Linked DNA regions of Lonchura striata. The protein of the gene in region 1 purifies or fractionates together with the protein of each later gene. This does not show direct contact. Links are inferred from orthologs where the notes say so. Each region holds a gene or a part of one and is shown on either strand. Other genes may lie near its edges.

The links.
Region 2: the proteins of DCAF6 (region 1) and TNNC2 purify together in Homo sapiens (affinity purification with mass spectrometry; 3 studies listed by BioGRID and IntAct, with this or other methods). This does not show direct contact. The link is inferred for Lonchura striata from reciprocal best matches to the Homo sapiens genes DCAF6 and TNNC2.

Annotation. Positions count from the first base shown.
Region 1 is NC_134604.1:15,140,342-15,148,214, reverse strand, and holds the start of DCAF6 (DDB1- and CUL4-associated factor 6), read right to left. Parts: upstream 3,001-7,873; 5' UTR 2,934-3,000; coding exon 2,840-2,933; intron 1-2,839. Other genes in the region: MPC2 (mitochondrial pyruvate carrier 2), read left to right, coding at 3,702-3,807, 7,142-7,182. UniProt on the Homo sapiens protein: Ligand-dependent coactivator of nuclear receptors. Enhance transcriptional activity of the nuclear receptors NR3C1 and AR. May function as a substrate receptor for CUL4-DDB1 E3 ubiquitin-protein ligase complex.
Region 2 is NC_134619.1:8,185,748-8,193,461, reverse strand, and holds TNNC2 (troponin C, skeletal muscle), read left to right. Parts: upstream 1-5,214; 5' UTR 5,215-5,417; coding exon 5,418-5,420; intron 5,421-6,155; coding exon 6,156-6,207; intron 6,208-6,304; coding exon 6,305-6,448; intron 6,449-6,534; coding exon 6,535-6,649; intron 6,650-6,725; coding exon 6,726-6,862; intron 6,863-6,940; coding exon 6,941-6,972; 3' UTR 6,973-7,186; downstream 7,187-7,714. Other genes in the region: ACOT8 (acyl-coenzyme A thioesterase 8), read left to right, coding at 1-148, 479-670, 768-886; SNX21 (sorting nexin-21), read right to left, coding at 1,912-2,583, 2,885-3,039, 3,174-3,444. UniProt on the Homo sapiens protein: Troponin is the central regulatory protein of striated muscle contraction. Tn consists of three components: Tn-I which is the inhibitor of actomyosin ATPase, Tn-T which contains the binding site for tropomyosin and Tn-C.

The DNA.
Region 1 (7,873 bases):
GTTCTCACCAAAGCATAACAGCTGAAGGATACATCCCACAGATGCACCTACAGCCCCATCTTCATGAGTCGTTTCTCTGAAACTCTGTCCAGAACTGACTGGACTTCAAAGCAATTATTTAGAGATCTTGCAAAATCAGAGAGAGTTTCCGCAAGGCCATAAATTCCACGGGTGAGCTATCTGCATGGAAAGGTACATTACACAGACCCTTCCTGGAGCAGCTGTTTTCAGAAGCTGAGAGAGGCTATTTATAGAGTGCCACTTGATTGCCAATTCACATGAAACTAAAACACCGAGTAAATAGGAAACAGCAATTAGTTCTCAGATGTCTTTCTTCAAAACATGGTCACTGTCGATATTTCTGATATTTTACACTGTAGCACAACACAACCATCCCAGTGAAGGGCTCATTAACTACCATCCACACAGACATCTTCCTCCCAATTGCATTGTTAGTCATGAACTTGCTGTAATGCTTTTCCTTTCATTTGGTGGCTGAAAAAGTGCAGCAAGCAAAGAAGAGACATATAAATTACTTCATTTTGTACCTGAATCCATAACTGTTTAGACAGATTTGCTCAAATAAAAAAAAAAATGCACATGGACAATGCCTCAAGTCTCCCACTACTCCTAAGTTACAGTGAAATTCCTGCCCTCCATTTGTTCTGCCTGCCAGACTGTTGAAACACTACTGAAAAAAAGAAATTATAAATAGGAAGAAGCCTTACTTCCCACGCAGATCAGACCAGCAGTGACCAATAAGCACTTGCACCCAGCTGACCAGGGCAGTCTTGACCAGTGGGCCAGAGAACAAAGCTCGTACACAGAGCTGCTGAAGTCTGAAAGAGAAAAGACCTACACCTACACTGCCCTGCACACAAAAAGGCACAACAGGCCTCTTCTCTAGGAAATCTGCACTTGAACAACCACACCTGACTAGCAGTCAAATCAGTGGGTTTATCAAGGCCATAAACGCCATTTGGGTAAAAGTGCAGTGGTTCCACAAGACAAGCACACCCTGTACCAACCCCCTGGTGAAAAGCAGGAGTCAGTACGGACTGAGCATGTCTTGTCACCACCAATGCAGATCTCAACTTCAATTCCGTGGGAAGGCTCTCCCAGGTCCTATTTTTTCAAGGCTCTCAAGCAACTGAACTTGTTTAGGTGAAAGGAAGAATAGTAAATATGAGACCTTAACCAAGGCACCATAGTTTTAACTAAAGTTAGAAACATTTTATTGGAGTAGCATCCAGAAAAGACATCTTGGAAGTCTGGGAAGATGATTTCTACTATTCGAATCTTAGTACTTCAACTCTCAGAGACACAACCATGTAAAAGCTGAAGAAAAAAACCAACAAAGGTCTTCTTCCAAAAAAAAAAAAAAAGGCACTTCTTCAGAATCTGCACACTACAGTCCTCATTTTAACATTGAGGTTTTCTGCTCCAACTGGAGCAGACAAAAAGTAAAAAAAAAAAAATCCAGTCAGAAGGATTGATCACTAAAAGTTATAACAATCCTCGGCTAAGGCTTGGCCAAGCACAGCTTGAGACTAAACAAAATCAAAAGCAGCTAGATCGTTAGTTCTCAATCAATTTTTTTATTTTAGGACTCAAAATTTCTTTCCAAGGGACTTGTGCACGGCACACACCGACACACCCCCCTCTCTGCAATCGGTAGAAACCTACAGCAATAACCTTGATTTCCTCGATTAACGTTTTGTGGATTACTGAGCGCTCAGGGACTACAGGCAGAAAACTCTTGAGTTAGGCTCAGTAATGTGATATCCCACCTTAAATTCCACCAGGAAAAACCCAAACGACAGACCATCACCACCGAGCACAGCCGGGAAAGCCTGGGAGACACGGATCGACACTCGTTTTACAACGCTGTAAATCAAGCTCCATCTCGAGTACTCGAGGTTTCCACTCCAAGGCAAGAATTGTTTTGGCACACGAGCACAAAAGAACGCGTTCCCGACCCACCCAGCCATCTACCCCGGAGAGACAACCCCCAGATCCCCAGCGCCGCTACGATGGATCGCCACACCTCCGACAACACGTGAAATAAACACCGGCGTTTAAAAATACTTTTTGGCAGCGTGTTTAGACAAAACCTGCGCCATGACAAAAAACATCGATAGTTCCTTCACGCCGAGCGCGGCCTCGGGGAGGAAAAGTGGCGCTGGCTGTAACTTGGGAAGTGCAAATGCCTGGCTCGGGCGCGGGGGCAGCCGGGGCCGCGCCGCCGGCGGGGACCCCGCGGAGCGCTCGGGGACACCAGGGCGCGGGGGATGGCCGCGCCGAGCGCCGGCGGCGGCTCGGCTTCTCCCGGAGCCCGGCAACACCTCGGGCCGCCGGACAGCGGCCGCGCCATCACCCCGGAGGCGTCTACGTGCTTTGTTCCCAGCCGCCGGCAGCTCAGCGCCGGTAAATCCGGACCCTGCCCGGCCCCGGGCACGGAACGCCCGACGCCGGAGCTGCTTTGAGCCGCCGCCCAACTTCCCGGCTGGATCTCCGCGTGCAACAGTTCCTTCGGGAAACAGGCGCGGCGGGCGAGCGGAGCCGCGCACCGAGGGACCGGGGGGTCCCGGCGGGCCCCAGGCCACCCGGGCAGCGCGGAGGGATGGGGCCGGGGTGTCCCGGACCGCCCCTGAGGTCGCGGAGGGTGGATTTGGAGGTGTCGCCGCCCCACACGCGGCACAGGAAACTTCGGAGCTGCGGGACAGCGCGGCCGAGCGGGGGAGCGGCGGCGCCTGGAAGGGGCTCCGGGCCCCCTGCCCGCTCGGTGGGCGCCCGGGACGGCCGGAGCTCGCCCGCCCCGCCGAGCGCGGGTCCTTACCGAGGTAGTGCCTGCGCAGCAGTCCCGGCTCCTCCAGCCCCAGGGTCCGCTTCCGCACGTCCCACAGCAGGTGCGGGCAGCGCCCGCGGGACATGGCCCCGCGCGGGCGGGAAGGGCGCGCGCCGAGCCGGGGGGGTGCGCCGGGACCGGCCGGGCGCGCGCGATCACCATGGGAACCGCCGAGCGGGCCCCGCGCGCGCGCCCCGCGCCCGCCTCGCGCCGAGGCACCGACCGCGAGCCAGGGGCGCGGCGGCTCCGGGACACGCCCACCGCGCGCGGGGGCCACGCCCACCCCGGCCGCGGTGGGCCACGCCCGCCGGGGAGGGGGCACGGAGGCCCGAGATTAATGGGCGTCTCGCGCGAGCCGGTGACGTCGCCCCGCCCCGACTGAGGGGAGGGCGCGTCGTGGGCGTGGAGGGTGACGTCAGGGCGCTCGGCTCCGCCGGGAATAAACCCGCCCCGTCCAGTGAAGCGCTGTGAAGCCGCAAAGCGGCCATCTTGGCTTAGGGCGCATTACTCGCAGCGCAGGGTTCTCCCGCGGCGGCCATCTTGAGGGGAGAGCGAAGCAGCGGCCGCCATCTCTGAGCCGGGCGCCTGTGCCCTTCCCGAGGGCGGCGGGCGCGCCAGCTCTCCCCAGCTGCCCGGCCCAGCGCGCTCAGCCAATAACAGCGCGCGCAGCTCTCCGCCCCGCCCCGCCCCCTGCGGCGGTGACCAATCAGGGCGCAGTGCCGGGCGGGCAGGCCCGGGGGGCGGGGCCCGGGCGGAGGACGGACGGACGGACGGACGGACGGGACGCGGCCCCCGCTCGGTGCCCGCTCGCCCCTCTCTCCCCACTCGGACCCCGCTCGCCCCGTCCCTCGCCATGGCGGCCGCAGTCGCGGGGCTCCGCGCTTCCTACCACCGCCTGCTGGACCGCATCGAGCTCATGCTGCCGCCGCGGTTCCGGCCCTTCTACAACCACCCCGCGGGTAATGGGCGCGGGTCACCTTGGCCCCCGGTTGGACCGGCGGGGATGGTGGCGCGGGGGATGTGTTCCGTACGGGCGGGGCCGCAGTAACGCGGTTCGGGTGCTTCTGGCGCGGGAGGGCGGCCCTGGAGCGGAGTCCTGCTCCGTAACGGGGAATTGACTGCTCCTGAAGGGAGAGCAGGATAATCGGGCACGGCACGGCTGGTTCCGGGATGGATGCGCTGCTGTCACTGTCGCGGTACCGCGGGGCGGATCCAGGGAGCGCCTGGGCTGCCAGAGCCTGGCCCAGGGGATGTCGTGGGTCTAAAGGGGCCTGGATGCCTCGGGAACCGCTTCTTGCAAGAGGATGTGCTGGAAAAATCATAGAATCCTGGAATGGTTTGGGATGGAAGGGATATTAAAGATCATCCCGTTCCACCCGCTGCTACGGGCAGGGGCACCTTCCACCAGAGCAGGCTACTCAGAGCCCCATCCAGCCTGGCCTTGGGCACTTCCAGGGTTTCTGATCTTGAACTGTGCCCTGGTCAAGTCAGGCAGCCTTTGGTTTTATTTCCTTTCTGCTGAATCCCACGCTTCTACCAAAGACAGCTCATGCCTTTGGTGAATTCGCTGGAGGACTCCTGCGGGTAAAGAATGAGCTCCCCTCACCTGACCTGCAGTTTACCTTTCCATGGGCAAACGTGGGGGGTTGTGTTATTAGGGAGAAACCTCCTGTAAAAGGATCTCGTTCAGTGCCATCTACGTGGTGTTTGTCATGTAAACAAATTGCGTCGGTTGTTAAAACGAGCGCCCGATAAAATCCTGGCATTCCATAGGCTCTGTCCCCACTGTTTCCTGTCAGTGTCACAGGCATCCTTGACTCTTCACCTACCAGGAATATGCACTGTGAAAATGGACTTTGGTTTGCAGTCACTTGCTCTATCCTCTTACAACGGCCCTTTCTTGGAAGGAAAATCGTTGTTCTAAAGGAATCACAAAGGATGAAGAGTGCAGTCCTCAAAATGTTTGATTTATACTGAATTCACTAGACCAATATATTTAACATTAGCGTATTGCTTTTATACATAAAGAGACAGTATGTCCAACACTGAGAGACACATTCCACTGGTGTGAAATGTGACAGCTTCCAGATACTCTTAGTGGATGCAAGGCACAGCAAGTGCTGGGAACATCCATGTTCCTTCTTCAACAGAGCTGTAGTGGGAATTGGAGAAAGTTTTGGAGGTTCTCTTGCAGTGCTTTTCACTTCACAAAACTGCCTGTGGGCCGCTCTTGGTCATCACCATAATGTTGTCAGTAATAAATCCATTTTTAGGGATTCTTTGTGTATATATATGTTATATACCTGTCATAATCCATACTGATGGTGTAAGTGAGAAAAGTCACAGCACAAGCAAGTATAGAAACTGAACCCCTGCAACTTCTATTTTAGCCTTGAAGGTGTGTCTTTGAGAAAGTTATGCAATAGATGTCACTCTGCAGGAAAAAAAGTGGGTTAAAAATGAAAGACTTTCTTTTATCTCCAGTGACATCTTAATCTCTAGTCTAATTCAGGAATATAAGCGTCATTGTCATGAAATTATAAATCACCTGTGAGGCATGAAGCACTTTCTGGCATAAAGAAAGCTTCCAGCAAAAGAATTGGTGCCTGTTAAAAACTGTTTCTTTGGCTGGCATTGTTGGAGGACAGTGGAGGGCCTGGCACACCAACTCCCCAGGTTGCCATGGGAAAGCAAGGGCTGAGCTTGTGCTCCCTCCCCTTTGGCTGCTCTGGTTCACTTTGCCTGACTAAACTCAAGTTTTCAGCACAAAGACTTCTTACGTTTAATAGAAGTCATAAATTCTATAAAACTGGTCATGTATGTGATACCTAAATTAGCCTCTGGTGTTCCCCTGCTCTCATGTGCTGCTGTTGTATTCATCCTTGAAAAATTCTGGATGTCAGGAGCTGGGAAGAGTTCACCCAGGCTGGGTGCTTGCTGGAGTGCTCCAAGGAGAGGTGTTTAACAGTCTTCCCTAATTACAAACTTGGTTTGGTACCTTCCCCCTCTCCAATTCTTATTTCTGCAGTCATCAATTTGAAATGGTTGAGTTTTCTATTATTAATAAAAATTAATGTCAGTCTTCTTGAAAACTATACTAGCTGTTTAGGGAATGTCAGTTTAATAATTTATACTCATCCCACATCCTCTGGTACTCCAAATCTGAATTTGCTTTTTAGAATAAGATAAATGTTAGTAATTAAAGCTACTCTGTAAGACTGATTTATTTATAACAAGCTGTATTTGCAGCCTGATACTGACACACCAAGTAAGTGCCTAAGAGAACAGCAGCTGAAGTTTATATCTTTAAAGGATGAACATTAAGCTGCTGTTATCTAATATTCAACAATATTAGACAAAAAGTAGTGTGCTTGTAGTTATTAAATGGAGTTTGAAACTTGATCACAAGCTGGGTGGGTTAAAAAGGGCTTTATGCAAGGCTGCCAAGCCAGTTTTTGTTTCCCAATTCATAGTTTTAAACTTGAGGATGGTTAAAACTGGAAGTACAAGTAGTTAGTGCAAGGTCTTTTTAAGGCTGAATTATTAGTGAAAGAAATAGCTCTCATAAAAAGCAGGAACCAAAGTCCTGGTGGTTACTCCTATGTAATATATTATAGTGAAAACTTGGCTTCATTTTGCATGTTATCAGTGTGCTGAGCAGTGACCTAAAGGTTAATTTCTGACTGTTTCATAGGGGTTGGTAATTTGAATTGTGGTCTCTCATTTAAGACTTGGAGCAGAAGTCCCAGATTAATGATTTCTGGCATAGTTGTAGGCGTGGCTTTACATGGGCTTTGTTTTAACCAACCAGTTGCTGTTTTAGCACCATTGAAAATCACAAGTATTCATAAGAGAGTTGTTTTTCCCCCAGGTCCCATGCCATTGGATTTTCCTCCCTTCCTTCTTGAGATTTCCTCATTTTCCCCCAAATCCTCCTTTGCTTACTGGTAGATTTTTGGGGTGTTTTCCATATTCCTAGGACTCTTCCTAAGTCTTTAATTTAAAAATGCATTTTGCTTGCTCCAGTGTCCTCAGTTGCTTAAACATGGATATAAAAAATCCTGTCCAACTGTTGCAGAAATGTGTGGAGTGATTATACAACTGAAGGTTGATGCACTGAGGTGATGAATTATGAGTATTAGGTGCTAGAGCTTGTACAGCAATAGAAACTCTAATATAAACAATTCATTATTAAAAAAAAACAACAATTAAAATAAAACAAACTTACTGTGGCTATTAAAACAGCCACACCTTACTAAGTAATTTAACTTCTTTTCTCCCATTCTCCCTCAGGTCCCAAAACAGTGTTTTTCTGGGCACCTGTCATGAAATGGGTAAGTACAAGATGCCAGCTGGTGTCTGGGTGTCAAGCCCAGGGCAACCTGCAGCAACACACTGAGCAAGCAAGAGATTCCCAGCAGATACTTGAGGCTGCAGAAAGATTAAGAGGCTCTAATTCTTAATATATGGGGAGGAACAAAATTAGCCTTAGTAACAACACAAACTGAAGGGGATACAACATGGGGAAAATGCTTTGTGGAAGAATTGTGCTTTTCACTGGGGTTCTCTTGTGAAACACCACCTGTTGCTCAAGGTAGGCATGATGCAAAACTCATAAAGCATGTGTCTATTCTGAGATTGAGGAATTTGAGAAATATCTTATACGGATAAGTATATTGTAAGAAAGCCAATTCCGAAGCCTCATAGCTTGAAGGCAGGCTGAAGCATGTCAGAGTGCAAGATGGTCTTGACCTAAAAGACAAAAGCAGCTGCAATTGTGGCTGTCCAGTGGTGTGCCCTGCCTCCTGTGAGGTTCTGCTTCCCACTGGCTACAGCCCTGGGCTGTGTTTGCGCCCAGGTGATGCAAATGCCACCTCCTAAATCACTGTGCTCCTCCGAGGTATTGTATTGATACAGATAAAACAAGAGATCTCCAAACCCACGAGGGTTTGGATGTAACCTGCTCTTACCATTGCCAGCTGCTTTGTAACTTTGCCACTGTGAACCCCTGCGTTTTATATGCCA
Region 2 (7,714 bases), on another chromosome or scaffold:
GTGGCCGAGGGATACAGGAAACGTCTCACCAAGATCCAAGCTCAAGATGTGCCGATTGACATTAAACCTGTGAACCCACCAGATATATTCAGCTCAGAGCCACAGGAGCCGAAGCAGCTCTTCTGGGTGCGAGCCCGAGGCTACATAGGTGGGTCCTGCTGGGTTCAGGTACCTCCCAATCCAAGGGCTTAAGCACCAGCTCACCTGTGGAGCACTCTTGCAACAGAATGGGCTGGGAGGGCTGTGATTAGGGGGCTTCCTGTGCCCTAGCCTGGACACTTCAAGGCTGTAATACAGGTGTGGGTGCAGAAATGATGCTGTGAACCATGCTGGGGCATGGCATGGCAAAGGGAATAAGTCTGGAGGGATCTCAGATGTGCTTGGCAGCTGGCTCCAGGGGAGCGGAGCCCCTGGGGCTCTGCACTCCAGACACGTCCCACAGGCCCCAGCGGGATGGGCAGCACTGGTTGCTCTGCAGGGGAGACTGACATGAAGGTGCACTGCTGCGTGGCTGCCTACATCTCTGACTACGCCTTCCTGGGCACGGCCCTGCTCCCGCACCGGCAGTACCGCGTCAAGTTCATGGTGTCCCTTGACCATTCCATGTGGTTCCACGCGCCCTTCAGAGCTGACCACTGGATGCTGTACGAGTGTGAGAGCCCCTGGGCTGGTAAGTCCTTAGTGCATTTTTGGGAGACCCTCATGGCCAAGGCCAGCCCTGCCTGTCCTGGGGCAGTGGGCTGCAGTCTGACAGTCTCTCTCTGCAGGTGGGTGCCGGGGCTTGGTGCAGGGACGGCTGTGGCGCAGGGATGGGGTCCTGGCTGTCACCTGTGCACAGGAAGGTGTCATCAGGGTGGAACAGTCACCAAACCAGAGCAAGCTCTAGCTGAGGAGACGCTATAGACTCAAGCATGCCGAGGGAGGGACCCTGAGATCAAGACACAACCTGGACAGGAAGGAGACCAGGTGGGACCAAGCACTGCAGGAAGTTCCAGTGCCAGAGATGTCTGCGACAGACTGTGACCAACAGAGCATCGCTGCAACCAGCTGCTAGCTGCACAGCATGTAAGCTCACACTGCCATCAGCTATCCTTCATCCACCTTAAAATAAAGCCATTGGGTGAAGAGCTGGACTCTGTCCCTGGAGTTTGTCCCCTTGGACCTGTGACTGGGCTTGCACAAGGGCAGGCAGTGCCAGGAGCACAATGGATCAGCTCTTCCCCTGTGCCAGGCTGGGTCACAGGAGGGGAAGGTGCTACTTTGGCACACGTTGTTTCCTCTTCTCACTTCTGCACTGCTTGTACTGCCCTGGCTCCTCAGTCGCTACTTCTGCTTGTCCTTGGGCTCCTCCCCAGGACTGGGCTTGGGCTTGGGCCCAGTTGGGAGCTGGGAGAAGGGGATGAGGCAGCTCCCACCTCTGTATGGAGGTTTGAGGCCTCCCACTGATGATGCCCTGGGGTAGTAAGGCTAAACAGACTCAGCAGGCGCCGTGCTCTTCTTCCTGCCAAGACTTTATTTAATAAAGTCCTTTCTATTGTGTAAGTTCGATGGGAAGTTCCCAGCAAGAGCCCTGGACCCTGCCAGAAGTTTTCCCATTCCCTTGCAAGGTGCCAGTATGTCCCAGCTAAGGTCTCAGCCACTCCAGGATCCCCTGCAGAGGGGGAGCAGCTTCTGGCAGCACCAATGTGGGTGGTGGACCCCCTTGAGTCCCCAGCCCCGCTAAACAGACTAACCACAGAGAAAGTGCATTCAGGAGGCAGCTCTAGGCATGGGCGGTGCTGCCCGTGGGACTGCAGCGCTGCTCCCCTGCCCCATTGCCACCCATGGCATTTCCCTCGCTGTTGCCAGCTGCCACAGGCCTGTGAGCTCCCCCACAGCCCTTGCCCTCCCGCCCCTGTTAGCACAGGTGGCTCATTCCAGAGGTTCCTTGATCAGGCATTCCTTCAGGGAAGGCTGCTGCTGCAGAGGCAGCCCAGCTTCCCGCAGGTCCTGCAGCCGGGCCTCCGAGCGCCGCTTGTCCTTGCCCACCTTCCAGGCCAGGTGGACGTGGGTCTGCAGGAAGGGTCCCAGGAGCGGGTGGCTGCCCTGGGCCTCCAGCAGCTGCAGCGCCTGCTCGCAGCAGCCATGGGCCTCACTGAGCTGGTCCAGCTCCTGGTGGCAGACGGCCAGCCCGGCCAGTGTCAGCAGGAAGCGGCCGGAGCTGCAGACCCCCAGCCGGTCCTGCAGCCGGTAGGCATTGGCCCAGGTGGCCAGGGCCTCGCGGTACATGCCAGTGCAGGTCAGGCGCTGTGCAGCCTGCAGGTCCGGCAGGAAGAAGAACTCGAGGAACTCGGGAGAGCGGCGGATCTCGTCGATGGAGTGCAGATGGGACAGGAACTGTTCGAAGGCTCGGCTCCGCTTGGCAATGGTCTCGGCAGTGAAGTTCCGGCGCAGTCTCTTCCTGGGGAAGGCAACGCTGGCCATGTCGCAGCTGAAGCGGCAGCGCAGGCGGCGGTTCAGCTGCTCAAAGTCCGAGTAGCGCCGGGCGATGGTGGCAGGGGCCTTGTCAAACTGGCCAGAGCGGATCAGGTAGATGGTGTAGAGCTGTGGGGGAGGCAGGTGTCAGGCAGTGCTGTGGGCAGGTTGCTCCCGGCACAAGCACAGCAGGGTGTGCGGCCACAAAGGGGCTGGGGGAGTTTGCCCAAACAGAAGGGAGTGGACTGGGCTGCTGCAGCCGCAGCACCCATCAGCAATAGTTACCTGAGGCTCATCTGAGCCGCCAGCACCATCCGAGCAGCACGGAGAAAGAGAAAAAAATAAGCACCAGCCCCGTGGGATCCCTGCCCCGGGGAGAGCAGGACTCGTACCCACCCCCTGCCCGCCCAGCCGCGCCGGGCTCACTCACCACGTACTTGGAAGAGCGCTCGCTGACCACGCTGGCGCTGGTGACCTCGAAGAGCAGCCGCTGCGGTGCCAGGCTGCCCCGCGACCTCCGCCACAGCTCCTGCAGCTGCCGGGTCAGCAGGCTGCCGCCGGGACGCTCCGCCGCAGAGACCCACTCTGTGTCGGGAGAGGAGCGTCAGTGCCCCCCGTGGGGACAGGGCTCTGACATCTGTCGGGCTGCCGGACGCCACCATCGCATAAGTGTCCCTGGAGTCACCCTAGTCCCCCCAGCTCACCGCCCCAGCACCTGCCTCCGTCCTCTGTGCCTGCCGCCGCTCCCGGCGCCTGCGGCGGCTCCTCCAGCTCCTCGCTAGCTCCGTCCCCCTCCTCCTCTTCCTCCTCGTCCTCGTGGCTGGTAAAGCTCAGGGTGCCGCTGAGGCGCGTCGACAGCCCCTCGGTGTCGTCCTCCAGCTCCGAGCTCTCCGGGCAGTCCTCGGCCTCGCCGCCGCCGCCCGCCGGCTCCTCCCGGCCGGCCTCGCCCGCCAGCGCGTGCCGCAGCCGGTGCAGGATGCGGGCGGCCATCGCTGCCGGGGGTCCGGCCCGGCACCGCGGCACGGCGGGGCCGGGGGCTGCCCACCGCGGCACGGCCCCCGGCGGGGACAGCCCGGCCCCGGGACAGCCTCCCGCTGCTGCCCCCGCCCCGGCCCGTTCGCGCTGCCCCGGGCCGAGCCGAGCCGAGCCGGGCAGTGCCGAGCGATGGCCGCTCCGCCACGGCTCGTCCCGGGATCCTCCCTGCGCGGCTCCGCCTCCGCCGGGAACCCGGATCGGGGCGGCGGAGCCGGCACCGCCCGGCACGGCCGGGATCGGGATCGGCGCTTGCGGCAGCGTCCGGCACTATCGGGATCGGCTCTCCCGGCACTGCCCGGCACGGCCGGGATCGGGATCGGTCCCTGCAGCACCGCCCGGGACTCCCGGATCAGGGTCAGGGCTCAGCCTGGCTCTGCCCGCAGCCCCTGCCTAGGAACCGACCCCGCCCTTCCCCGTCTCGGCTCCTCTGTCCCCTGTCCGGGATGTCCTGGTCGGGCCGAGCCCCGGATATCTGCCCTGGGGCCACAGGACCCCCACACTCCAGTGCTCGGCGCTGTGGTGTCCCAGGGTCTTGATACCCCAATACCCTGGCATCGCTGTGCCCTTACAAGCAGGATCACCAACATCTTTGTATCCTGCTACCCAGACTCAGGCTCCTTATCCCACTGGGATGCCCCTGGGCCACCTTGGCAACCTGCCACCCTGGCCTCAGTCGGCCTCCTCGCCACGGGCCCCATGGCCAAGCTGCACCTCCAGCACTTGCCTGGCCTTTTTTAGAGCCTGCCCGCTCACTCCTCACTGCTTCCTTGGGAATGTCTATAAATATCGAGGAAGCAGCCCAGCTGCTGCCATCACTCTGTCCATCGCTTGTTCACTGTGTCCTGTTCCAGCACCCTGCACCTCACCCAGGCTCAGATGGGACCCCTGAGCTTCTCTGAGCAGGGTGGGATGCACTAGGGGCTGGACTTGTTCCCAGTTCCCACCTGGTGAATGGGGGTCCCAGCAAAACCAGGAGCTAGGAAACCCCTGGTCATCCCTGGCACTGGGACCTTGTGGGACAGAGATCAGTCACCCTGACCCCACTGCAGCCCTGAGACTCTGAGCCCCACAGGGCATGGGCTACTTGGCCAGTACATCCCCAGAGCCACCAGCCCCAGCCGGTCCTGGCAGCAGTGGCTGGCACAGGCTGTGAGTGTGAGGACTGAGCCTTCGAGGAGGCACCGGGCATAATTCCCACTCCTCAGAAGCACGAAAAGATGGACCTATTTCCGGAAACAGGTGCCAACAGCACTGGGGACCCCAAACCATGGGGCTCATGCTCCAAATCTCTCCAGGGACTTCATGCCCTGGGCCCCACTGGGGACCCCTTCCTTATCTGGGGTGGGGGGCTGCAGCACTGCTCTGCCTGGGTCTCTTGGAGCAGAAAATGGGGGTGCAGGGGGAGAGAACGCTGTGCTGGGGGAAACCAGCTTGGTATTGGGAGCTTGGGCCAGGAAGGGCTACTTTTTCAGGGGCCAGTGGGTAATAGTCCATGCCCCCTGAGCAGGGGGGATTCTGTCCCCCTTACCCGGGTGATGCTGACGTCTCCAGGGCTATTTTTAACCCCCTCATTGCTGAGTTGCCTTGGATGGGGGTGTTGGGGGTGGGCAGAGCTGTGCTCCTGCCACAGTTTTGATCTCCCTCCTGAAGGGCTTGAATTTCCATCCCAGCCTCATCCCCACGTTAATCCCAGCCCTTGGCCAATAAAGCTTTGGCTAAATTAGGTAAAGGCACCAGTTGCCAGTGAGAGGGGCTGGATGCTGCCAGAGCGCTGATAGGCTGAGGGGGCCAGGGGGCTGTAGCTGGAGGAACATCCCACAGAGGAGACACTACAAATTGGGGTGCCAGGGGCACCACGAAGCTTCTGGGAGTTCCTGCTGCAGGAGCTGGTGATTCTCTGGGGTTGGGAAGCCCAATAAATTCCCAAGATGGTAAGCGTTCCTGTGTGCTGTGTGCCATGTGCTGTGTGCCAGGACAAGACCTGACTGGGCAGGAGGCACAGGGGGGTCTGGGCTGTGGAGGTGCCTCTGCAGAAGGCAGCAGGGATACGGTCCCCAGTGCTGGGCTGACCATGGCAGTGAGGACAGGGAAACGTTGGGGTGGTGCAGGGTCCCCACAGGACAGATCTGAGGGTGAGTGTGGCTGCTGAGGGGTGCAGGTTCCTGGGGACACCATCTCAGCCCTGTGCGGAGCTCAGAGCTGCACAGAGGCAGGGGTGGCAGGGGTGGCTGAAAGCCGAGTGCTGGGTCATGCGACACGGCGTTGCTGCTGGCTCCATGGCCGGCCTGCGCCTCCAGGAGAAACTCGATCGGGGTTGACAGGTGCCACGGCTGGAGCCCCAGCAATCCCTACAAGGGGAGCTGAGGAGAACCCAAAAATAGCACTGCATGCCCAGGATACCAAGGCTGTACACAGGGACCATGACCCCAGCACAATGGAGCCCCCTGGATAAGGGGAGACTTGTGCAGGCAGCTCCCTGCAGCCCTCCATGTTCATGGGTGCCTAGAAAGTGCCATAACTGTAGGGATTGCTGGTGTCTGTGACTCATGGCAGCACAGGATCATCCTGCAGCAGGGCAGAGGCTCTTTCCACAGCCAAGCACTGTTGGCCATGCTGTATGAGGGGTCTCTGGCCTGATATGGGTGCCCCTCTCCCTTGCCTTACAGACGGACCAGCAGGCAGAAGCCCGTGCCTTCCTCAGTGAGGAGATGATTGCGGGTGAGTGTGGGGACGGTAGGGACAGGGGCTGGACATAGCCATGGTGCAGGGTCTGGCTCTGCTCCACTGTTCAGAGACCTGACTTGTCTCTCCACAGAGTTCAAAGCCGCCTTTGACATGTTTGATGCTGATGGTGGTGGAGACATCAGCACCAAGGAGCTGGGGACGGTGATGAGAATGCTGGGCCAGAACCCCACCAAAGAGGAGTTGGATGCCATCATCGAGGAGGTGGATGAGGATGGTGAGCAGCCCTTGGTGGCTGGTGGCAGGGGTGGGTACTGGACCCTGGGCAGGTAGCCTGACCCACGCTTGGCTTCCTCCCCACAGGCAGCGGCACCATCGACTTTGAGGAGTTCTTGGTCATGATGGTGCGCCAGATGAAAGAGGATGCCAAAGGCAAGTCTGAGGAGGAGTTGGCCAACTGCTTCCGCATCTTTGACCGGTGAGTGTGGGGGCAAAGTGGCCCATCCTGTCTCTGGGGGCGAGCAAGGTCTCATCCCTCCCTCACCCTCCTGCAGGAATGCGGATGGGTTCATTGACATTGAGGAGCTGGGCGAGATCCTGAGAGCCACCGGGGAGCCTGTCACTGATGAGGACATAGAGGACATGATGAAGGACTCAGACAAGAACAATGACGGCCGCATCGACTTTGATGGTGAGCAGTGGCCCCAGACAAGCACCCACGTTGTACACCCAGGCAGGGCCATGGGCTGAGGCTGCTGCTCTCTTGCAGAGTTCCTGAAGATGATGGAAGGTGTGCAGTAAGGGACCAGACATTCCTCAGGCCAGCTGCTGCACCCAGCCCTGCTCCTCTGCTGTCCAGGGAGCAGCAGCTCCACAGCATCTGGCCCTCAGCACTGGCTGGGACCTTGCTCCATGTCAGGGTCCTGGTCTCATCTCACCACCGGCGGCTGAGCTTTTCCTCCCATCTGTCACCTGTGGCTTTGATTCGAGCCTCAATTAAAGAGGAAAGGCTTGAGCTGCTGGTGCAGGATTTCACTGGGGGTGCATGGGGAGGGGGCTGTGGCAGTGTGCCCCTGCTCTGCTCCTCAGGGAGGGAACGTGGGCAGGCTCACGCCACAGGGAAGTGCTGCAGGAGTAGCCCAGAGTTGTGGTTCCCACGGCCTCTTGGGCAGGCGCCAGCGCTGAGCTCAGAGTTTCCGTGCAGAGCAGCTCGTTCACACGCCAGAGGGTGGCCCTGGCCCTGAGAGTCCTGCTCCAGGGCAGGGCTGTGGGACTGCAGGGGTTCTAGAGAGCCACCGCTGCCCGCCCCACACTGGGACCCACATCTCCCCCCCAGAGGACCTGGCTATAAGGTGGAAGGGCAGGAGCAGCCCCCTCCCTACAGGGGAAAGGTGGCACTTGTCCCTGTGGCCCTCTGTGAAGGAGGCTGTGCTAGCCTGCTGGCAATCACAGCTCCCTGGGGACCAGCTGGGGTGGAGCAGAACAGAGGGGAAGAGGAGGGGTACAGTCCCCAGCCAGGGTGGGTGGGACACCGAACCAAAAC